Regions from separate parts of the Mus musculus genome. Here all the other regions are reported to be linked to region 1. The links are microRNA targets in miRTarBase. Many come from high-throughput screens and were not tested one by one. Region 1 holds a microRNA gene; each other region holds the end of a gene's coding sequence.
Evidence for each region. The annotated mature microRNA mmu-let-7g-5p reads UGAGGUAGUAGUUUGUACAGUU and lies in region 1 at 1,454-1,475, opposite strand. An mRNA with a match to its seed (bases 2 to 7 or 8) in the 3' UTR can be bound and repressed. Matches are read on the target gene's strand: a 7mer-m8 pairs with bases 2 to 8, a 7mer-A1 pairs with bases 2 to 7 and ends in A, and an 8mer does both.

Region 1 (3,164 bases):
GTGTACAATTCAACGGTGATGTGCTCACCTAGCCTGTGAGCAGCTCAGAGTTCAATCTGCAGCATTGAGGAGGCGAATTTGGGAGTTAAAAACTACATTAAAAAAAAAATCACTTTTTTGTTACCAATCTTTGTACTATTTGCAAGTAATAATTCAACTTGTCCTGAATAAGTATTTCCTAGCAAGGGGGAAAAAATCACAAGCTATGGACACTAATTTTAGCTGTCTGCAAAGTGATAACTCTTACACTGAACATCAGAAGGGCAAATTAGAGGGCTATACAGTTAGTTTGTGTAAAGTTGGGCCTACTACATAGACAGATTCTGTCAAAGAAAGAAAAATCAAGAAAGGAAAAAGCAGTCTATCTAGAAAAAGTAAGCAAGAGGGTCTAGAGAGGTGGTTCGGCAATTTAGAGCAGCAGGCTCCATCCCAGGAGCCACATGGTTTCATAACCATCTGTAATTTCAGTTCCAGGGGATCTGACATCCTCTTCTAACCTCCCCAAGCACCAGACACATACAGGATACATAGATATACATGCAAGCAAACCATTCATACACATAGAGTAAAAAATTAAAAAAAAAAAAAAGAAAAAGAAAGAAAGAAAAGACAAGACTACACTGACAGCAGAATGAAGAGAGGCTGGGTAGGCAGCTCAGCGCATGGTGCATTCCATCAGTGGGTGAGGCCCACGGCTTAACCCCTAACACCACAAAAGGTAAGAATAAAATTAGAAAGTACTATGCTCCTAAGAAAGATAGAGAAAAGCTGTAAGTAGTGACTCTATAACCTCACCACATTGGTGACCAGCATGGGATACATTTACTGAAGCCCTATCTCAAAAACCAAACTCAAACATCAATGAAAACAAACAAAACAAAAAATAGGAAGAGAAACAAATAATACAAAACATGGCACCACAGTGCAGGAGGGAAGGCAAAACGCCCAATAAAGAGGTCCAAAGAACCAAGCGGCTTCAAGAGTGGGCTTTGTTTTGAGACAGGGTCTCACTCTATAGCACATGCTAGATTGAAACCCATTATACAGCCCAGGTTAGTCTCAAAAAAGCAGCAATCCCCCAGCCTCAGCCTCTCAAATGCTGGGATTACTGGTGTGAGCAACACACTTAGCTTGCAGGGATGCTTTCTAATGAGAGGGCATTTGCAATAAGAGAGAAAAAAAGAACCCTTCTATATATTCTGTAACAGTTTCAAACGGTTTATCTGAACAACTCCAAGCCTCTCAAATGACAACCACAATGCATTTCTGGTTATTCTAGTGCCAGGAACTACTCACCTGACCTAAAGAGAGATCCCCTCCCATTACCTGGAATCCCAGAGATGAGCAGGGCTTCACCATCTTCTCCACCCCATTTGGTAGCTGGTGCACTGTTCCTGGCAAGGCAGTGGCCTGTACAGTTATCTCCTGTACCGGGTGGTATCATAGACCCTCAAACTGTACAAACTACTACCTCAGCCTGGAATCAGGCAAAAGAGAACGGAGCGCTGGAGCAGCTCTGCAGGACGCACTTGAGGAAGGAAAGGCAACATCCCCACAGCAGAGGCCAGGCAGCAAAGCTGCACCCGCCACACATTTGCCTCATCTTTACCATATTTGGAGAATTGTTTAATCACTTAGAAAAACAACCCAACAAAAGAAATACACCAGTCATTTATATATATTTTTATATACCCTCAGAATTCTAGTATTTATCCTTATCCAAAAGCATCGGTGGCATTGCCTACTTAGAAAACTACATCTGACACATACATGAAAAATAGAGATGATTAGACATGCAATAAAATCAAGTTCAAGTACAGAAGTCTTATTAAAGAAAGACTTCTGCCTGCCCATTTGCTTTGAGAAAGGTTAAAATAGCCACCTAGGCTATCCTTGCTGAGTGGCTGGGCATGGCGTCACTCGTCTTTAATCCCAGCACCAAGGAGGGTTCCTGTAAGTTTAATTTTAAGACCAACCTGATCTATATACAGAGTGCAAGGCCATCTGGGGCTACAAAGTGAGAGCCTGCATCAAAACAGGGAGGGAGGCAAAATAAATCACTGTGGTTATGAGCACACACTGCTCTTGCAAAGGACCTGAGCTCCCCTTCCAGGATCCACGTCAGACGGCTCATACGAGCCTGTAACTCCAACTCCAGAAGCTGACAGCTTCCAGACTCTGTGGGCACCCATGTTCACATGTGCACATACCACCTCCACACACATACACAATCAAAAAAAAAAAAAAAAAAAAAAGTACCGCCAAAGGGATGGCTCAGTGGTTAACAGTGCTTGCTGTTGTTCCAGAGGTCCTGAGTTTGGTTAACACCCACAGCACGTGGCTCACTTGCCTGCAACACCAGCTCCAGAGGACCTGATGCCCTATTCTGGCCCAAGGGCATAGGCACACACCCACTCAGATGTACACATACCTAAAGAAAAATCTACTGTGCCTGCGATAGCGGCACAGACCTACACACTCAGTACCCAGGAGTATGAAGCAGGGCAAACTGAGTCACAGTAATACTATCTCAATAAAACAAAATGAAAAAATCTTACTGCAAAAAGTGCATTAGTAAACTAGTATTAACAAGGCTAAAATGAGAAAAAATAACAAGCACACGACAGTTCAAGCACTGAGACAGTTCTGTTGACTTAGGGACTTATTCGAGGGGAAATCAGTCAAAAGCAGATACTAGTTATTAAAAAGGATGTTTCAATTCTTAAAAAATACCTTTACTCTAAAGCAAAACAAAAGGTATTCCTGGAATTTACAACCACAGTCACTGCACCGTGTGACACAAACCACAGAAGAGCTAACCTCTTCTAACTATTTGGATGTCTTTTTGTTCCTCTGTTGTTTTTAAGACGGGGTCAAGCTACAAATGCTCAATGGCCCAGGTAGGGCTCAAACCAAGGCCCTGCTGCACACCCGCCTCCTGAGCGCTGGGGGCACTACTATTCTTAATCTCCCGCATTTGGTCTCCTTTCCAGTCTGCATTTAGTACATCTGCAAATTTTGTTTTATTCTCCCTCAGTTAGAAATGTAAAGGTTTACCCCAACCCCCTGCCTTTTAGAAGATCTCACCGTGTGTGTGTGTGTGTGTGTGTGTGTGTGTGTGTGTGTGTGTGTGTGTGTGTGCGTGTGCGTGTGCGCGCCTTGGC
Region 2 (3,164 bases), not on the chromosome of region 1:
AAGGCATCACCGCACTCCACACCCTCTCCCTCTGGCTCCTGTTGTCTTCTGGGTTTCTTGTTTCAAACAAAATGATTAAATGTCAGAGGGGAGTTTAAAACCAGGCGTGGTGACCCACAGAACTCAGGAGGAGGAGGCAGGAGGATTAAAGGTCATTTTGGACTGCAACAAAAATTCATGTCCAGCCTGTGTTATATAAGACCCTGTCTCATAAAGTGGGCGGGGGAGGTGGGGGTAAAGAGGAGGCTCTTAAGCTAAAACGTGATTGGGCTAGTGAACCAGTCAGCCCCCTCATCCTGCCTCCTTATCACCTGGCATCCTGAGCAGTCTCCTGGCCACTGCTGCTGTGGAGAACTGGGCTCTCAGCTGAAAACCAGAGAGGCCACTGTTCAAACTGTTTCACAGTACACCTGAGGTCACTGTCTCTATTTCTGAGCATTTTGCAAATGGCACATGTGGCATTTTGATTTCACAGGGTATGTCTTTGTTTTTTCATTTTATTTTGCTCATTTAGCCTCAAGCCCAAGGCAGAAGACCTATCTGCATTTGAGTCCTCAAAGTAGGTTATTCCCAGGTATTCTGTCTGTGGTGCTGGTCCTTCGTCTGTGGTACTAACCCGTGCATGAGCTTGCCTGTCTCTGTCCTCGGGCCACGCAGAGCCCTCCTGAGGGCAGGGAAGCCTGGGGCCTGGCCACAGCATGCTTTGAGGGTGAGAGCAGCTGTCCACCCTGGGGGGGCCCAGACCAGCCTCCCGGGCCTAGAAGACTGCCTCACTCTGAAGAGCATGCTGTGGGGATGCAGGACCAGTTGCTTGGTTTCCCTTATGTCACTGGTTGGGTTGGGGAAAGTCATGGCTCCCTTTCCAGTCAAATCTAAGTCCTTTTTCTTCTTGGTGGTATACTCCTTTGATAGATACCTCTAGCATGGAAGTGGGAATCAGTTCTGATGCTTTTAAGACTGATGTCTCTTGTTCAAGATCACTCCTCTCCTGTAGTGGTACGCTCTGCAAACTTATCACAGCTGGTAGCTTCTGGGTGTGGGCCACTCATTCTCATTTTTTCCTCAAGCCTTCTGTTCTCTGCACACCCCTTTTCTTTCCTAGGGCAGCAAACAGAACACTGGTGCATCTTTAAGCCAGTTGCAGTGAGTTGGCTGTCCCATGGCTGCTCTAAAGGCCACTTTGGCTTCTGTCCCCCTACCGCATGGAAGGAGCTGTGCATGGACAAGCTCATCTGCAACTGTCCCATTGCAGACACCCAGGAGATGAGTTAGCAGCATTTGTGTTGAGTCAACTAATTAAAGCATTACAGATTATTCTTTCAATATGCCCAGGCAATACAGGATTATCATGCCTAATATTTAAATGTTACCGTCCTTCCATTACTGCTTGATCCCCAGTCATACCCATGTCAGCATGCCTCTGACACTTCTGACAGAGAAATAGGCTATGTCCTTAGCGTCCTCACTGCAGTCAGGTAAAGAAACTCGGAACCTGGACGTTTCCGTTTGCTCATTGTCCACAAAGGAGGTCAGCTGTGACGTCCCAGGTGCATCAGGTAACTGAGAGTGCACAGAGGCCCCACGAACCCGAGACTGTCATTTGAGCCTGCCTGAGTGAATGCACTTCTTTTTTCAGCCTCATGCCCACTTTGGTTCTGCTACCCTGACATCATGCAGTGTGTGCTCTAAACAGGATATTGGAAAGTTGAATCTCTGCCCACATGGTAACCCAAGTGGATCTGTGGTGCTTCGTGCACTCTGGTCAGTGCAGGGCACTCGGAAAACCTTGCTATATCTTACCTGGTGCATCAGATGCTCCCTGCGTATAATTAGGCAATTTCATTAGAATGTGGGTTCATCTTTTGTTGTGTGATATAGAATATTTGTATTCTTCAGGGTCCTAAGTTTGATCATCAGTTCTCACTGAGTTGTTATAAACAAGAGAGGTTTCCTTTTTAGTCATCTTTGTATTGTTTCTAGACCTATAGCCTCATCATGCCAAGTGCCCAATGACAGATTGAGTACACAGTGCTGGGTCTGTACGTTTGTATTACCCAGTGGCATCACAGCCATCTTGGTCTATGATTTTCCCTTAGTGATAAGATCATCTACCAACACACCTCTCACTGCATGGCCCAATCATCAAGTAGCGAGTGACTGTATTTGGAAACGTTTGTTTGTTTGTTAGTTCATTCATTCATTCACTCAGGTGAATGCCTTAATGTGCCTGTTGTTTTCAAAACAGATTGCTAGGCTGTATTTAATTAAGAATTCTGATAACCAGCCGGGCGTGGTGGCGCACGCCTTTAATCCCAGCACTCGGGAGGCAGAGGCAGGCTGGTTTCTGAGTTCGAGGACAGCCAGGGCTATACAGAGAAACCCTGATAACCAAGAATTCTGATAACCAAGGTTACTAAAAGCAAGAACTTGTCTTTCAATATGATGCAAGTTCCTCTCAGCAATTTTAAACTAAATACTGGTGGATTTTGCTGTCTGAGGAATGTTTCATTTACTTAGGTAGTGGCAGTCTCTATGGCTAGTGGCCAGTGCTCATAACTGATGGTCACCTTCCTGTGTAGAGGTGGCTCTCAAGTCATTTCCACTACTGTCTGAACCATTGCTAGCCTAGCAGAAAAGTGTCCCTTCTGGCTTTGGAAGTGTGTGTACCTATTGGTCAAGGGAGGAGCTCCATTTTGACATTGGGGATGAGAGATTCTTAGAGAGGGTTTCTCTTGCTGTGAAGAGACTCCATGACCATGGCAACTCATAGGAAGCATTCACTGGCTTACTTTCAGAGGTTTAGTTTAGTTCATAATCATTGTAGCAGGAAGCATGGTGGTACACAGGCAGACGTGGTGCTGGAGATGTAGCTGAGAGATGTACATTTCAGAAGACAGCACTGGGCCTGGCTTGAGCATTTAAAACTCTAAATGCCCACCCCTGGTGACACACTTCCTCCAACAAGGCCACACCTCCTAATGCCAGATTCTCTGGAATTAGAGTTACAGATGGTTGTGAGCCACCATATGGGTGCTGGGAATTGAACCCTGGTCTTCTGGAAAACCAACCAGTATTTTATTTTATTTTATTTTATTTATTTATTTATTTTTGGTTATTCGAGACAGGGTTTCTCGGTATAGCCCTGGCTGTCCTGGACCTCACTT
Region 3 (3,132 bases), not on the chromosome of region 1:
GAATTTTTATTCTACGTGTGAGCAGCTGCACATGGAGATGTGAAGACGACATCAGATTCTCTGAAAATATAGTTACAGGAGTCTGTGAGCTGATTGACTTGGTTGCTGGGAAAGGAACAAGCTTTCTGTGGAAAAAGCCCTTGTTCTTAGGCACAGACCCAACTCCAGCCCCAGGTGGAATCTTGGATTGAACTCCAGTCTTTTCTCTTTTGTGAACACCACTTGAACCTTTGAACACTATGGCTGGGTAATCAACTTATAGTATGTGTGTTGTTCAGATTTAGGCACTGGTTTCCTTGAGTAGTAATATGTTTGTGACACTGATTTTTCTAAAAGCTGAGATATTGTTGGTTCTGTGGGTGGAAAAATATCCTGAGTTTTCACTGCTGTGATTTGCACAGTCCTTTCTGAGATAACTTTGGTTTCTCAGAGTTGGATGTTTTGCATTTTCTGATCATGGAGTTAAGTAGGCTTCTGGATCAGTGGTTACACGTGGAGTTATTGTACTGAGTGCACTGTCCTGTGTTCTTTCTACTAAATGGGATACATGGTTTCTTTCAGTCATGGTGAGCAATGGGGCATGAATGGCTACATGAAGCTTGCCAGAGGCAGGAACAACCACTGTGGAATTGCTTCATATGCCGTCTACCCCAGAGTGTAAACTGCCTGATGGTAAGAAGGAAGGGTTGGAATGGAGACAGCCTGTGAAGTGGAGGCACTTTCTGTTTACCATGACCAGCCTCTGCTGCATGGATAGAGTTCATGAGTTACTGCAGAACGTGATGTAATGTGAATTCTGTTATGTTTTTATCCAGTAAGACATGATGGATACTGTAACTTAAGCACTTCACTTATTTGTATTTGATTCCCATAACTTGATTTTGTGTTTGTTTAATGATTGTATAAAACAATATCTTTAAAGAATATTTAAGTTCAAATGAAGTGTCTGTCTTCTTTTTGTTTTGAAAGTAGTGACTTTTAAATTGTATGTAGTTCATTTCATTTAATATATGTTTTAGTTAAAATATAATTATATTAACCCATTTATTTCTTTCCTCCAACAACTTTTCCTCCCTACCTCCTCACATATTCCCCACTCTCATCTAGTCTCAAATTGATTGGTTTTTTTGTTGTTGTTGTTTTGTTTGTTTGTTTTGGTTTTGGTTTTTTTTTTTGTTTTTTGAGACAGGGTTTCTCTGTATAGCCCTGGCTGTCCTGGAACTCACTCTGTAGACCAGGCTGGCCTCAAATTCAGAAATCCACCTACCTCTGCCTCCCAAGTGCTGGGATTGAAGACATGCACCACCACCGCCAGGCTAAATTGATTGTTTCTTATTCTCTGGTGATTTTCATTATATATACGTATATGTGTATATGTATATATTTGTGAATATATAATGAAACCAGCTGAAGGCTGAATCAATTTTTGTTCCTTCTATGTTCAAGACTTTAGGACTAATCACATTGTTTAGGTAGTTGATCAGGGGTTCACCCCTGGGAGTGCTCATTCTCCTTTTAGTATTCATAACTCCTGCATGTAAGGCTCAGGGAATATTGTGGAAGATAGGGCAGAATGACTTAGAGACAAAGGATCATGAAATATACAAGGAGACTGTATGTCCAAAAAATTGTTGCTTAAACAATATATGTACAATGACAACATCAATAGCCTTATCAGCTGGGAATAAGGAACAACTTTAGAGTTCCCACTGCCAGGTAATGAGCTACAGGATATTAATTTTGTTGTCACATTAATAACTCAGTATAAAGACATACATTTGTGTTCTGTTGATGTTCTTAGAGAAAGAAGGGTGGCTCTTTTGTTATTGTCAATTTTCCATCTTTAGTAATGTGTGTGTTAAATTAGATTTTGTGTATCGACTATCACTGTGAATCCCCCTTGCCTTACTTCCATCCTGTGTAGCATCTTCATTGTGAATGTACTGAAGACATCGGCAAAACTGGATCTGCAGTTACAGATTTTTATTCAAATGACACTTTCAGAAGTTTTAGTGTCTCAGAGGCAAGAGAGCTGAAACATGCCTTTTAAATAAAACCTCCTAGAATCAATGTTCTGTTGTATTATTTTTTGTTGTTAATGTTTGAATTTAGTTATCAGATGCACTGAACTTTGTCATAGACAGATAGATAGAAAGATAGATAGATAGATAGATAGATAGATAGATAGATAGATAGATAGATAGATAGGGATATGGATATAGATATAGAGATATATAGAGAAAATTATTGCAGGCACACACACACACACATTGTGTACATTCATATATGTCTATAATGGAACACACAAATATACACATACATAGTTTAGTACTTATTTTGTACTAGAATCTAATGTAGATTTTAAAATGTATCCAGAGTATATAAGAGATGATGAGCCTAGTGTTTTCTTATTTTAGCTTTCCAGTGGTTTCATTTTAGAGACAAATGAGTGTTTCTAGTGACCTTCACTACATGGAGAATACATTAGATGAGGTCAGAAAAATGGGTCCCTCACCATATAGATTGATAACTTTTGCCAAATCGAAGTTTATGGTGGTATTGGCTTTGTTATACCAGATTACATCATAGGAATGTCTATGCCTGGAAATTTTGATAGAGAGTTTATTTAAAGCAACTATCTCAATGCCACTGCGCTCCCAGCAAGAGATACTCCTACACATGTACTAGGCATGTCTGGTAGGGGTTGACTACAACCCAAGCTCCTTTAAAATATGACTTTATTTCTTGATTAGGGAATAGAAACATGTTGGCTTATAACTGATGATTATAGACAGAGATATGATCCAGCTAAGCCTTGGTTTTTGTGATATCTGACAATTTCCTACAGACATAATTAGAACATTATATTTTGTTTCAATTTGGTGAGTCTGGTAACATGCTCTCTAGAGGCTTTTTTCTTTCTTTCTTTTTTATTAGATATTTTATTTATTTACGTTTCAAATGTTATTCCCTTTCCTAGTTTCCCCTTCGAAAATCCCCTATCCTCTCCCTTCTCCCCCCTCCTCCCTCCCCCTGCTTCAGTCATGGAACATGCTGGTTCTTGTTTAGGAATGCTCTGCTAAATATTAGTTGAGGTTTTCTACCCTATATTAGATCATTTAATTCCCAAAT

Region 2: the mRNA of Nf2 is a reported target of mmu-let-7g-5p. The part of its 3' UTR that is shown has no 7-base or 8-base seed match.
Region 3: the mRNA of Cts8 is a reported target of mmu-let-7g-5p. Seed matches in the 3' UTR shown: 7mer-m8 at 1,075-1,081 and 7mer-m8 at 1,264-1,270.

The regions. Positions count from the first base shown.
Region 1 is chr9:106,177,157-106,180,320 of GRCm38, reverse strand. It overlaps Mirlet7g (microRNA let7g), which reads right to left and starts at 1,481; the gene lies at 1,394-1,481. The region is part of intron 2 of Wdr82 (WD repeat domain containing 82); the gene reads right to left.
Region 2 is chr11:4,777,973-4,781,136 of GRCm38, reverse strand. Nf2 (neurofibromin 2) reads left to right here. Exons shown (of 17, transcript NM_001252250.1): 16 at 515-559. The coding sequence ends at 550. Among named protein-coding and RNA genes, the nearest start is that of Cabp7, 32 kb to the right of the region's middle.
Region 3 is chr13:61,245,683-61,248,814 of GRCm38, reverse strand. Cts8 (cathepsin 8) reads left to right here. Exons shown (of 8, transcript NM_019541.3): 8 at 562-2,068. The coding sequence ends at 661. Among named protein-coding and RNA genes, the nearest start is that of Cts8, 8.1 kb to the left of the region's middle.